3 linked regions of the Drosophila melanogaster genome follow. The protein of the gene in region 3 interacts with the protein of the main gene of each other region in a pairwise test. Each region holds a gene or a part of one and is shown on either strand. Other genes may lie near its edges.

Region 1 (3,893 bases), on a different chromosome or scaffold from region 3:
CCAAGTTACTGCGCCCCTATCACCACAGTCGCCAATAACAATAGCAGTAGCAGTAACTGTTGCAGTAACAGTAACAGTACCCAGCTGTCGCAGCATTGCGCTCTCCGCTCTGTACCGCAACACTCACATCCAATCCGAACCGAACCGCTCCGCTCATTACTCTCCCGATCTTGGGGCCTGGAGCGGAGCGGATGGGTTTCACTGTTAACAGTTAACGCTGGGAGAGCGCGATCTCGACTTACGCACACCCTCGCTCAGGAGGCTCGCTGAGATTTTAAATTTAAATATATATAGAGCAACATGAACAATACATATGTTACATTCTATTATCTGTCTATTGGTGGAAATGGAGTATATTATCTGATTAATCAGTGTTGTGGTGATGATAAATATTACTCATAAAGCTGCACTATTTCATCGTTATTTTCAAAGTATTCATTTTAGTGTGACATTTTACATTATGTTAACACTACGCAGCAATAATCTGTAAACTTTCTTTAGGCAATCTTTCATTCTTTCAAACTTTCCTTAGAAAATATTTCAATTGTGCCCGTTTCTATTAACCTGACTTCATGTATTGATATTTTTTTATTCATATAAGTACATTGTCTTTCAGCCATCTGCTTGCTATATTAAAGTAACTATTCGCTTATGTCTATAGTTCCTAAGATGTAAATGTAAATCGTCTCATAAGCATTAATTTTACAGCAAAAAATAAAATACGATTTTAAATTCAAGTTCGTTTGGAAAAACATTTCCGATGACTAGGATATAAATTCAAAATATTAACGCTATTAAAACGTTACATTTATCCATTGCTTAAGTATATATTAATCGTAGTTCTGGACGTGAGATGTCGCTCAGGTATCTACGATTCCGGCTAGGTTGACTGCCCTACGGATGTTCCTCACACACATGCCGTTCGAGATCGATGGCCCGGAAGAAGGGCCGCACGCAGAATTCACAGGTGTAAGTGCCGTGTCCATGGCCGCGATCCGTCTTTATGTGATCGGTGAGGTGGCACCGCTGGGTGAATCTCTTTCCGCACGTGGGACACAGATGCGGTCGGTGGTCCAGGTGCAGACTGTTAACGTGCTTCTTTAGGTGATCAGCAGTGGCGAAGTCCGCCTGGCAAATACCGCACACATGACCGCGCAAGAGGATGTGAACACGTTGCAGATGGGACCGCAGGGCTTCTCGGCTGCCATGGCTCTTGCCACAGTAGCAGCAGTCCAGGGCACTGCGTTCGTGAACCTGCTCCAGGTGCCGCACCAGGCTCAGACTGCCGGGGAATCCGTTGGCGCAGAAGGGACACACGAAAACGCTCGGCTTAGCGTTCACAATGCACGACTCCTTGTCCAGGTCGGTGGGCCAGCCAAAGGTGAGATCGTCGTCCCAGTCGATGCTGGGCAGTATGTTCTCAATGTTCTCCTCTAGCATCTCAAGATCCTCCATTTCATCAACCTGGCTGTCTGCAGGGATCGGATTGAATAGTATTATTAAGCAGGGTATGCCATTAACATCACAACTACTCGTAAGCAGAATACCTACCTGCATCACTGGCCGTGGACTTCAGGGTACGCAGGCGATGCACCTCCTCGGCGTGCTCCTGCAGCTCCAGCATCCCGCTAAAGGTCTTAACGTCGTTGCAGTTGTCCGTGCACATGTCGCAGTAGAACAGCGACTGCTGGCCGTGCCAACTGGCAACATGACGGTAAAGAAACGTGGCTGACGCGTACTTCTTGCCGCACTGCAGGCACAGGAACTGGCCATCGTTGTGCTTTCGCTCCCGATGCCGCTCCAGCCGGGCCTCCTCGCCGAAAAGCGTCAGGCAGTGGGGGCAGACGAAAAGACGCCTCACCCTGACGGAGCACTGCTGCTCGTGCCGCTTGGCGGCCAGATGACGAGAGAACTCCGCAAAACAAACGCCGCAGTGGTACGTACGCTTCTTGGCCGGCTTCTTCGCCGCCAGCGGCAGGGCTCCGCGGTTGCTCGCTCCCGGCGCTTTTGGCCGGATGGGCACCGGTTCCATAATTTTAGCTTGTCCAATTAAAATTGTTGTTACAAGCAAAACTGCTCGCTGACTATCGATATCGGAAGGCGCGATTTGTTATCGATTGACCGCAAGTGCCGGGAAGCCAAAAGTGTGACTGCAGCGCGAAAGCTGAACAGAATATATCAATAAGCGGTCACATTTACTTACCGAAGTGTTCAAAAACAAAAATCAAACATTTTCAAATTAAATTCTTCATATTCCCATTGAAAAGAGCCCGCTCGTACATTTTCGTCACTTGAATATTTATTGTACTTCATTTAAATCATTTTGTATTTGAATTTTTTTTACATACTTTTATGGTTTTTAATTTCATCAGCATAATTCAATAATATATAGTTTTTGTATAGTATAATAATTTTATAACACGTTTTTCTGCACTGTGCAAATAATTTTCCCATCAACTTCTATTCAATTAGCGAATTTCCTTTTAGTTATTTGCGTGATGGAGTGTTGATATTCAAATTTCCTTGAATTCTTTAGTACAGTCTACATTAAATTGTTTTACATTTGATTTCATTTACCGACTAACATTTTGTTGTATATTCTTTTTTGGGTTTTTTTTCTCAAAATAATTCATGTTTTTAACACTTTTATAATAGTATAAGCTGTATACACTTATAATAAATGACTTGAATACATAATAACAAACGCCTCGGTTACAATCTTCAATCTTCACAACTGTATTCATGACCCAGAATTTACATGGCGTTACTAAAAGCTCTGGAATCTTATGTATTAAGCATATTGTTTTGCGCATTCCTGTCCTCTAATCAGTGATGTGAGCACTAATTATCCAGAAATTAAAGTAAATATTTGCAGGGCAATGCCACCCACCTGACGCGTGAAGTAGTACACACTTATGTAATCCATTAAACATACATAGTTATCGAATTCTTTGTTCTTATTATCAAAATGGCGCTGTGGCGGCTCAATCAATCCATCGGACCTCTAATGGTTCCTTAGTTCTATGCTCATCCGATACTCAAAAGTTCAAATAACACAATGGTACAACTTAAACACACAAGCAACATTTTTGGTTTCGAAATTCCAACACTACAATCGAAAAATCGCAGCCAGTTCTAAAAAAGACCTTTTTTCGATCATCACAAAAATGTAACAGAACTTCTTCATATTAAAAATGCACTTTAAAGTTAAACACTTGAATCGAGAACGTATGATCTTGTATTTGCATTTTCTATCAACTGGGACGATTTTTGCAGAATGCTATGGGTGGGGGTAATCACTTAAATGCACATCAAACGTTCAATAAAAGCGAAATGGGATCAAATCAGGTAACAATTGAATACGATCTAATAACACGATTATCCATTAGCTAAAGTTATTCTTTGTTGCATGCAATGATTTAGTAACTTATTCACACTTTTATTCGAACATTTTGAGTACCGGGGTGGAGTAAAGTCGACAGCCGCGCTCTTGTGTTATATTTTTGTGTTTATGTAAGATTTCTGTTTCGGCAAGGAACCCATAAATATGCATGGGAACACTTAGTGTAAGCGATTAAAAGATATTCTCCATTGACTACTAAAAACATTCGGAACTTGTTCTTGCGATTTGCGTTTAAAGTAATTCATATCTTGCCTGCATTTGAATCTTTTGTTGTAAACTCTTAGTAAACTATTCATTTTTGGCATATTTGACTTACAACAACGGTAATACAAAAAAGTAAATGTACATAAAAAACAACAACAATACAATTTTCCTCCGCATTTACTACAACTTCCTTGGTGTTGTTCTAAAAGCTGCTATTATATATTTCGACAACAATTTCGGAACTGCTGCTGCTGCTGCTGATTTGTTCGGTTTGCATTAGGTATTC
Region 2 (3,296 bases), 2.4 Mb from region 3:
AAACATCCTCGAACAAGTATTCTTGCTGGCGCTGCTGAAAGTTCAGGGGTGAATAAAACCATTGATAACAGAAGTGACCCTGCCTTCGTGGCCCTGCAACACATTATGCCCATGACAGTGTGGCAATTGAATAAAGGTCACTTTCGCAATGTCTCTGGGCCCTCATGTCAATTTAACTTTTCATTTTCAGATTAGCTCAAATCTATCTCTGTTTCGATCAGGTTCTCTATTTTACATTAGTAGACAGGGTTGCATTTAGAGTGGATAACGGTATTATAAAAGGACTCTTTGGATGAGTTGCTAAGCGGATAAATAACTTCATCTTGCACACGAGCGAGGTGCTGCATCCTCAGGCGGATTTCTCAAGCTGCTGACCCACTAAAGATCCGATGGGGGACCCGATCTAGCATCACCAGAAGGGCTTCTGTTCATTGGGAGCAGAGCCCCACAAATGTTAATGGGACACTCATTATTATTGATTAGTTGTTTAGTTGATGGACAGCTATCACTAGCCAATAAATCGAATTTCATTGAATAGGGCTTCTATTTATTGCACATTTTGGCTTGACTAGATGCGACTGACATACTTTAAATTTGCTATGTTTTGGTGGGAACACTTCAGCTTCAAGATGGGGCAGGTTGGAATCGGGTAGATACACTTGCAGTAGACAAATTGATTGTTAAGATACTCCTCAAACTCCTCCATGGCGGATTCGTTTTGGAGCAGATCGCGGTATTCCTCGACACTCTCCAGATTCACGGGATCCAGCTGATGCATGAAGCACTTGAGCTTCAGCACTGTTGCATACAAATAGTTGAATATGTCGACGGCCATGATCTTGTGGTACTTGATGCTTCTATGATGGCTATCGCCCATGATGAAGGGCGTTTCCTGGGCCTTGTCCAGCCTTTCGTAGGCGGCATAGAACTCCTTGCACTGCTGATTGATTTCCAACAGGGTGTTTTTCATTTTGTTGCTAAAAGAGAAGCGCAATGTAAATAATTTCGTAAGCCAAGTTGTATGCAACTCACTTTGAAGCTCGCAGCACTTCCAATTTTTCCTCATATTCATTGATAATGGCCTCCTCGGTGGACAAGGTGTACACTTCGGGATAGCGACAGCTCTGCTCTGAACTGATTAGAATCAGATATCGCTGGGTTAGCAGCCATATCCGTTCAACCAGTATCTTTTGGGCCTTCATTTCGCACTTGTATAGATTGTAGTATTCCTTATAACGCATCTCTAACTTGACAAGGAGACCCAGAACTTCTGCCTCAATCCCGTAGTGCTTCTTGAGCTGCTTGGTTAGATGCGGCTCCTCATCCTCCACCTTGTTTGATCTGTTATCCGATCTGCGCTCCAACTTGCCCGCCACTATGGGTTCCAACATCAATTCAACTCTGTGTTCCATTTTGTTTATAGACTACGTGTGTTGGGTGTGTGTGTGTGTGTGTGTGCTAACTGCCTGACTGTCTGAGAAAATCGTATAATGGATCGGCCTTCAAGGCAGACTAGATGATTTAGTCTCGGCTAATACTACCCATCCATTTGGGTGCTCATCTCTTTCGTCAGTGGCCTATTAGATCTCTAAGGTTAAACCAATTTGTTTGGCATCGGTCGAATGGGAATCCTCTGAGTATTGACGAAAAATCACTTTTAATTAAGATCAGTTGAAAAGATGAAGATTTATATTTCACTTAGGCCAATTTAAAAAAGATTTGTCTGCCAAAAACATGTACGTAAAAAAGAAATCAGCTTCGCAATCGATGAATAGCATGTGATAGTTAAATATAAATATACTAAATATAATATTTATACGATTGAAATCAGTCGGGCGGCAAAAAGGAGCTTTTGATTGATTCGATTTTCGAGCACTTTCGGCATTCGAATGCATTGGAACGGAAATCAAATTAGCCAAATACTGCAGTGCTGCTGATTTTTCCGAGAGCCAACCAACTTATATAGCGTACACACAGGAAAATCCGTTGGCATAGATTTCATGTTAAATGCGTAATTTTTCCGTATTCTTATTTCGTTGGGCATCATAAATGAAGTGCGAAGCCAATTGCCGGCAGTGAAACATTTAATATATCTGTTGCGATATGAAGGAAATTCGAACTCATGAGCAATGTTTGAGCAATGTTTCCAAACGATTTTTCAATATCACTCAAATAAACAATAGGAACATGCGAGTGCAGAGTGCGAAAAGTGTACGCGTATGAAATGCGCTCTAATTGGAAAAATGTGTCGGAAATATTGACGGCTGTCAAATGTAAATGGTAAGGCGAAAGGTAAATGTTTAAAAATATCTTCAAGTGAAATGTTATAGCCACAATGATCGTTCTAAAAACTTTCCAATCTGGCTTCTGCAATACTGCAATTTTGTCTCGAAACATTACATTTTTTTGTGAAAGAAAATATTACAAATAAATGTTCAACAAAATATCCACATTTCGCACATCACGACTGAGCGTTGTTTACGATTTCGGAATTTTTAATTGCCACAGCGGCACACGCGGCGTATGCGCGATATCTTGTTCGGTGTAATGTGTTTAGGCTATTTTGGATCAGACAAGTGCTTCTTGTGCGCCCTCAAGATGTGTTTTCTCAACACCAAATTGTTAATGTGCAATTAATTCTGGGCGAGAGGTTGCAAAATATTTTTGATTGTGTTCAATTAAGAGGCGAAGGTGCAATGAACCTTTCGCGATAATTGAAAAAAGGGAAACAAAATAATGCAGTCAACTAAGAGGGCCAAATTTGAAAAATGTATCGTTTTAGGTGCGTTTTTGTAGTTATTTGCACTAAGTGGGCTAATTAGGCTTATCAAGCTAATCAAATTAAGAATAAGGACGATTGGTTAATAGTATTAAAATGACATTAAGCTTTAATACACTTAAACCTAATTACACTTCACTTTGATTACTTTACCAATTTGAAAATAATTTCTTATTAAAATATGCACTTAATAATGCATCTCAGTGCTCTGGTGTGGTTTATATCATTCCTGCCATCCGCATCTTTCGCTTTCTACGCGTTGAGCCGTGGGACAAGGTCGTGCCGTCGGCTGTCGGCGCTAGAAATATTATGGCTAACCGAGAGATAAAGTATATATGTATCTGTATCTGTAGCTGTAGCTGTGCCGCACTGCACAGGTCTTTGCGGCCCACTGAGTCTGTGCCCCGTGCGTTTGTGACGCGCTTTTTGCCATTGACACGCAATAAAAATATGTGCTCGAAATTTTTAAAAACTCATAATAATCACATTAAAGATTTGATGATATATATATAGGGTA
Region 3 (4,952 bases):
GACAGGGGTGCATTGAGAACACAGCCAATAAAGTTATCAAACCACTTGTGACGGTCGCCAGACACAAAATCAAAAAATAAAATCCATTCGAAATCTACCCGAACAACACATCAAATTCTGAGAATCCCCAAAAAACACCACCAATCCCCAAACGCGAGACACGACAAATTTTCATCGCATTTATATCCGAAATTAAAAAATTATGCCTGGCGCCAGACCAAAGAACCCATCCCAAAAAAGATTTCGAATCTCATGAATGGCGTGTCAATTTGGTAATTGGAAACTAAAATCGAGGAGTTGCCAAAAAAGCTATAGAGACCCGCTTAGATTGTCCACAAATGGCACGTTCCATCTTGGAGTTTGTCGCAAAATAAAGACAGATAGCGATTTAGCGATTCGCCAATGATTTGCATAATTGCGTGATTCGCATACCGTAAAATTTACATGTGTGCCAGTATGTGAAACTCACTGTGAATCATCTTTATGAAGGCAAGATGGAATCCCAGACAACTCTTAGACCCGATGAGTCCACCGCTATTCCCAACTTATGGTAATTCAATGATACAATGAGTCAAGTGCTGGTCGCTTTCGCCTCCATTGTCAAGTGTTCGATTATTTCATTCGGAAAAAAAAAGAATGAACGCATTTCAAACGATTCATAATCCACAATCCGATTCCGGGACGTGGAACTGGACCAGCATGCAACAATTTGTGGTTCGTTTGCTGAGAGGCTGGTAAACCTGGAGATCCAAAGTACACAGCGAAGGGAACAACCTGTTTTCCCACCACCATAACAATAATAAATCTTTCTACGGGTCATGAAATAAAAAAAAAAATAATAAAAAGATATTTGAATTAAATAAGTTTAATATTAAAATAACAGAGATACATATGTATGTAGTAATTGTTATGTATCAATCCGTTCATTATAATGCAACTTAAGCCTTAACTTTTATCTCACAAATTCGCATTCATCGGCACTAATAATATTTTATTCCTGTTGTGTGAAGGAATTTCTGTACTGCGCGTTCGGGTTCAACATGCGTGATGTTGCAAGTCGGTTTGTTTTGGGAAATTAAATTTCCCAGAATGAAAATTCGTAATATTCTTTCATAATAAATCTTTGAGATATAAACAAACCCTACATAATTAAATTGCTTAATTTATATCCATATTAATATTGTAAGCAGTATTTTACTGTATAAATTCATTTAATTATACAATATAATTCACAAAAAAAATTCTTTAATAACCTAACCAAACCCAAATTTAGTTTTCTGTAAATATATTATATTTTTGTATCACTTCATATTGAGCTTTCTATTTAAAGGTATTGTTCTTAAAAATTCCTGGAAGCAAAAGATTACTTTTTATTAATTTGGGGTGATGACTAAAGGAAGAAATCAAAATACAGGGAAATTTTCTACGCAACTCGAACGGCACACAATGGGACAACTTCTACATAGCAATAAATAAAATAAGACAAGAGACAATGGCATTTATCTAAATAAAAAATGAGCTAACAAATTAATTTTTTATTTGTCAATTTTACTTTTACAGTTGTAACCTTTAAAGTTTTAAAATTTCAAAAATTCTAGTATGTGCAAATTACTTTTGGTAAGACTTAAGCTATACCTATTTGTTGAAAAGTTTTATTTCGGGACTTGCAGCAATTCTATAACAAAGTTTTAAAAATAAAATAATCCTCTTCAATCAATGGCTTAAATGTTGAAAAAAAAAACATTATTTTGCTGATACTGACACACCCACTGTGCGGCCCACTGTGCGCATTTCGAACATGTTCGAAGCGAACCCCGGATGCCGATGCATGGGATTCGGTGGCAAACCAGTTTTCGTTGCGCCAGTCATCGACGGGCAGCTCGCGTGGATAGTTCGCCTTCGCTTCGGTCGCTCGTTTGCTTTGCGCGACCAACTCACTTTGAAAATAAAATTTTGGCCAATAACAAAATTGGTTTTTTCAATTTGCTAAGCCACAGCCGCACCGAGAAACCGCAAAGAAATGCGACGCGACACGCTGCCAACAAATTAAATTTAACCTAAAGAAGTATGTGCAATAAACCAACAAACCAATTACCAACGAAACCAAATTCAAGAATTAATATGTCAGCGGAAATATCAAAACAAACGTGTTTGGCATCACATATGCGAAAGCAACGCGCCAAGAAAATATAAATAATAAGCCCCATCGACGTCAGCAAACAAACTCAACCGACCCGGCCAATAAACAGCTTCAAAAGTGCCCAAGAATCGTTGCGAATGCGAAAAGATACATTTGTATCTTTGGTCATGCACTTTGCAGTTACCCCTTCCATTTCCCTAAAAAAAAAATACGCAGTGTTTTGTTGTGCGAAAGTAAAAACTACCTGCAACAGACTTTAGAGACAGACCTGCCCAGACCGAAAAACCCGAAAAAGAAAACCAGTTTTGTGAAAATTATTGACTGCGCTCTTGTGTTGGTTTTAGTTTAGTTTTTATATCTCGTTATGCTTCTCTTTTTTTTACTATTTCTTGGCTGCACTCCTTTGTGGATTGCAGAAAGGAAAATGGCAATAATAACAAGCCGAAATTGGCGGCTGCCAGCGGATAGATAGAGGAGTCATAAATAAAGTGAGCGGATGGATAGCATTGATAAGAAATGCAATTGAGGGAGACATAAATTACCAAAGGTGTCAAGGGGTTCTAGCATAAAATTGAGGTGTAAACATTTCAGTATGGATTGAGTGGTTACGGTTTTTTGTTAAATGTGCTGTTAGATTACAAACAAATTTATAGCGATGATTTTTATTTTATTCTGATCCATTTAAAATGTAAATAGTATTAAATGTATAGGCACATTGAAGGCACTTAAAGATTCATAAAATCAGATTACTCAGATACGATTTCAGAACCAAACCAACCCAAGTGTGTAACAAGAGCCGACTTTGAGTAACAATTAGCAAAAGTACAGAACTAATGGAAGCCACTATTTAATTCTCCACCCACAGTCAACTCGAAAAGTGCAACATTCCCCATAAATAATAAGCAAGCGTTGCAGTTAACTTACCGCTAAAATCAACGATCCAACAATCAAGCAAAAAAAAAAACAAAAGAAAAACCATCAACGTAGGCTAAGAAACAGAACGGAAAATGCTCATGCACACAACATCAATTTCCACAACGTCGACGGCCACCATGACCAACTCATCGTCCTCCGCCACGCCCACACCCGGGTCGACTTCCTCCAACAACAGTGCCACGCTCGACGCGCTGCACCAGCAACAACAGCAGCAGCACCAGCAGCATCAGCTGCAGCAACAACTGCAGCAGTTGCACACGAACGCCGCAAACAATTCACGGCCCCCCTCACGTGCCCCCTCCATTCTGGACAGTCCGACCCTGGCGCGTGTGGAGCGGGCTCGTCTGCGACTGGAGCAGCAGGAGCGGGAGCGGGAACGGGAGCGTAGCAGCCAGCGGGAGGTGGGCGGCGGCAGCGGAGGAGGCGGCGGCGGTGGTAGCAGCACTGGCACTGGCAGCACCGCCACAACCATGAATCGTGAGGATAGCCTGGAGCGCAGTATTTTGGATCCCAAGGTGAGCTTGCAGCAAAGTCTGCACAAAAAACAAAATAAAAAACAGTCTTAACTGATCCCAAATCAAAAGAAGATCTCAAAAATTTTTTTTTTAAGTTTAAAGAAACAAAACAAAGCAATTATTTTTTTCGGTGTACTCTTCCACATACTCGTAGAATATAAATTACAATTAGGAGGGGGGATCTTGAAAAACCTACGTGATAATGAAGGCTCAAGTAACCGAATGTATTATCACAGCGAATCATCTGAAAACATCTCTGCAATCCGCTTAAAGCATATATTTTAATCTTTTAATTTATTTAAAATGTTCGTCAGATAATTCTCGCATACCTTGAGAGCCTGATAAATGTCTTCAATCGGACCAAAGAATTTGTTTATATATGAGACAACTTTTCGAAGTTTACGCCATAGAAAATACAATCTTATAAATGGCTGAGAAGATTATTTTTTCCAGCTAGAGAAATTCTTTGAATTTCACGATTCTGATTCTTACGTCATCCCATATGAAATATTCTTAAGAAGATTCTTAGTGATATGTGTTATGTAAAATTACTAAAACACTATTGGACTTATCTTTGTTAAATACCAAGACTTCACATTTTTGCAGTGAACATAAAATACATATTTTAAAAACTCTTAACTAAATAATTAGCCCAATTTCCGTAATGTGTTGCCACATCCAAGTACTTCCCATAGATGCCCGATTCCTTCAATCTCATAAAGCTCTTATTAGATTTGGTCCATAACCGAAACAAATGCCTTCATGATGCTGCAAATTAGTGGCTACCTTCTACTAAAACCAAATGAAGCACGTTGAGAGAGGAAAAGGCAAATAGAACAGACATTAGGATGAGGCAGTGAAAGAAGAGGGCCTAAACCGAATAAGCCATACACACATTTTTTTTTTTGCTTGCCCAGCCACAGTTCTTGACAGGGCCATTTCACTAATGGCCCAAGTCCTCCTTGCGGCCTAAAGTAGCCCCCTTTAAGCTATAGGTTACTGGCTGCCTAGCCAACTGAGGAGATGGCTACTTCTCGCTGTCCGAACACGACCTTCTGGCTATATGTAAATGCTTTTTATTTTGTTATTATTTTGTTAACGCTCTTATCGCTGCCAGTTTTTTATCTCGACTGCGCTGGGGTCTCATCATCTGGCAAAAGCCTCTTTAGGCTCTGGGCATTTTTATTTCTTTAAAGCTTACTGAGGACTACTACTGAGTTCCCTGGTACCTTTGCATACATGGAAATGGTCAGAGTTGGGTTGGCTGTGTGTCCAGGTAGCTTAGAACCCAGTTCTCAGGTAGCTGGCCTCACCTCATGGTTGAAGACATAAACTCAGATAATGAATTGCGAAATGTGGAT

Evidence for each region.
Region 1: the proteins of CG32982 (region 3) and CG7101 interact in a two-hybrid assay, tested with the Drosophila melanogaster proteins (one large-scale study listed by BioGRID).
Region 2: the proteins of CG32982 (region 3) and CG31910 interact in a two-hybrid assay, tested with the Drosophila melanogaster proteins (one large-scale study listed by BioGRID).

Annotation. Positions count from the first base shown.
Region 1 is NC_004354.4:18,828,802-18,832,694, reverse strand, and holds CG7101 (uncharacterized protein), read right to left. Parts: upstream 2,105-3,893; 5' UTR 2,033-2,104; coding exon 1,552-2,032; intron 1,473-1,551; coding exon 895-1,472; 3' UTR 572-894; downstream 1-571.
Region 2 is NT_033779.5:6,744,131-6,747,426, forward strand, and holds CG31910 (uncharacterized protein), read right to left. Parts: upstream 1,493-3,296; 5' UTR 1,413-1,492; coding exon 1,033-1,412; intron 978-1,032; coding exon 569-977; 3' UTR 533-568; downstream 1-532.
Region 3 is NT_033779.5:9,123,876-9,128,827, forward strand, and holds the start of CG32982 (uncharacterized protein), read left to right. Parts: upstream 1-1,861; 5' UTR 1,862-2,065; intron 2,066-2,885; exon of another isoform or gene 2,886-2,894; 5' UTR 2,895-3,147; coding exon 3,148-3,591; intron 3,592-4,952.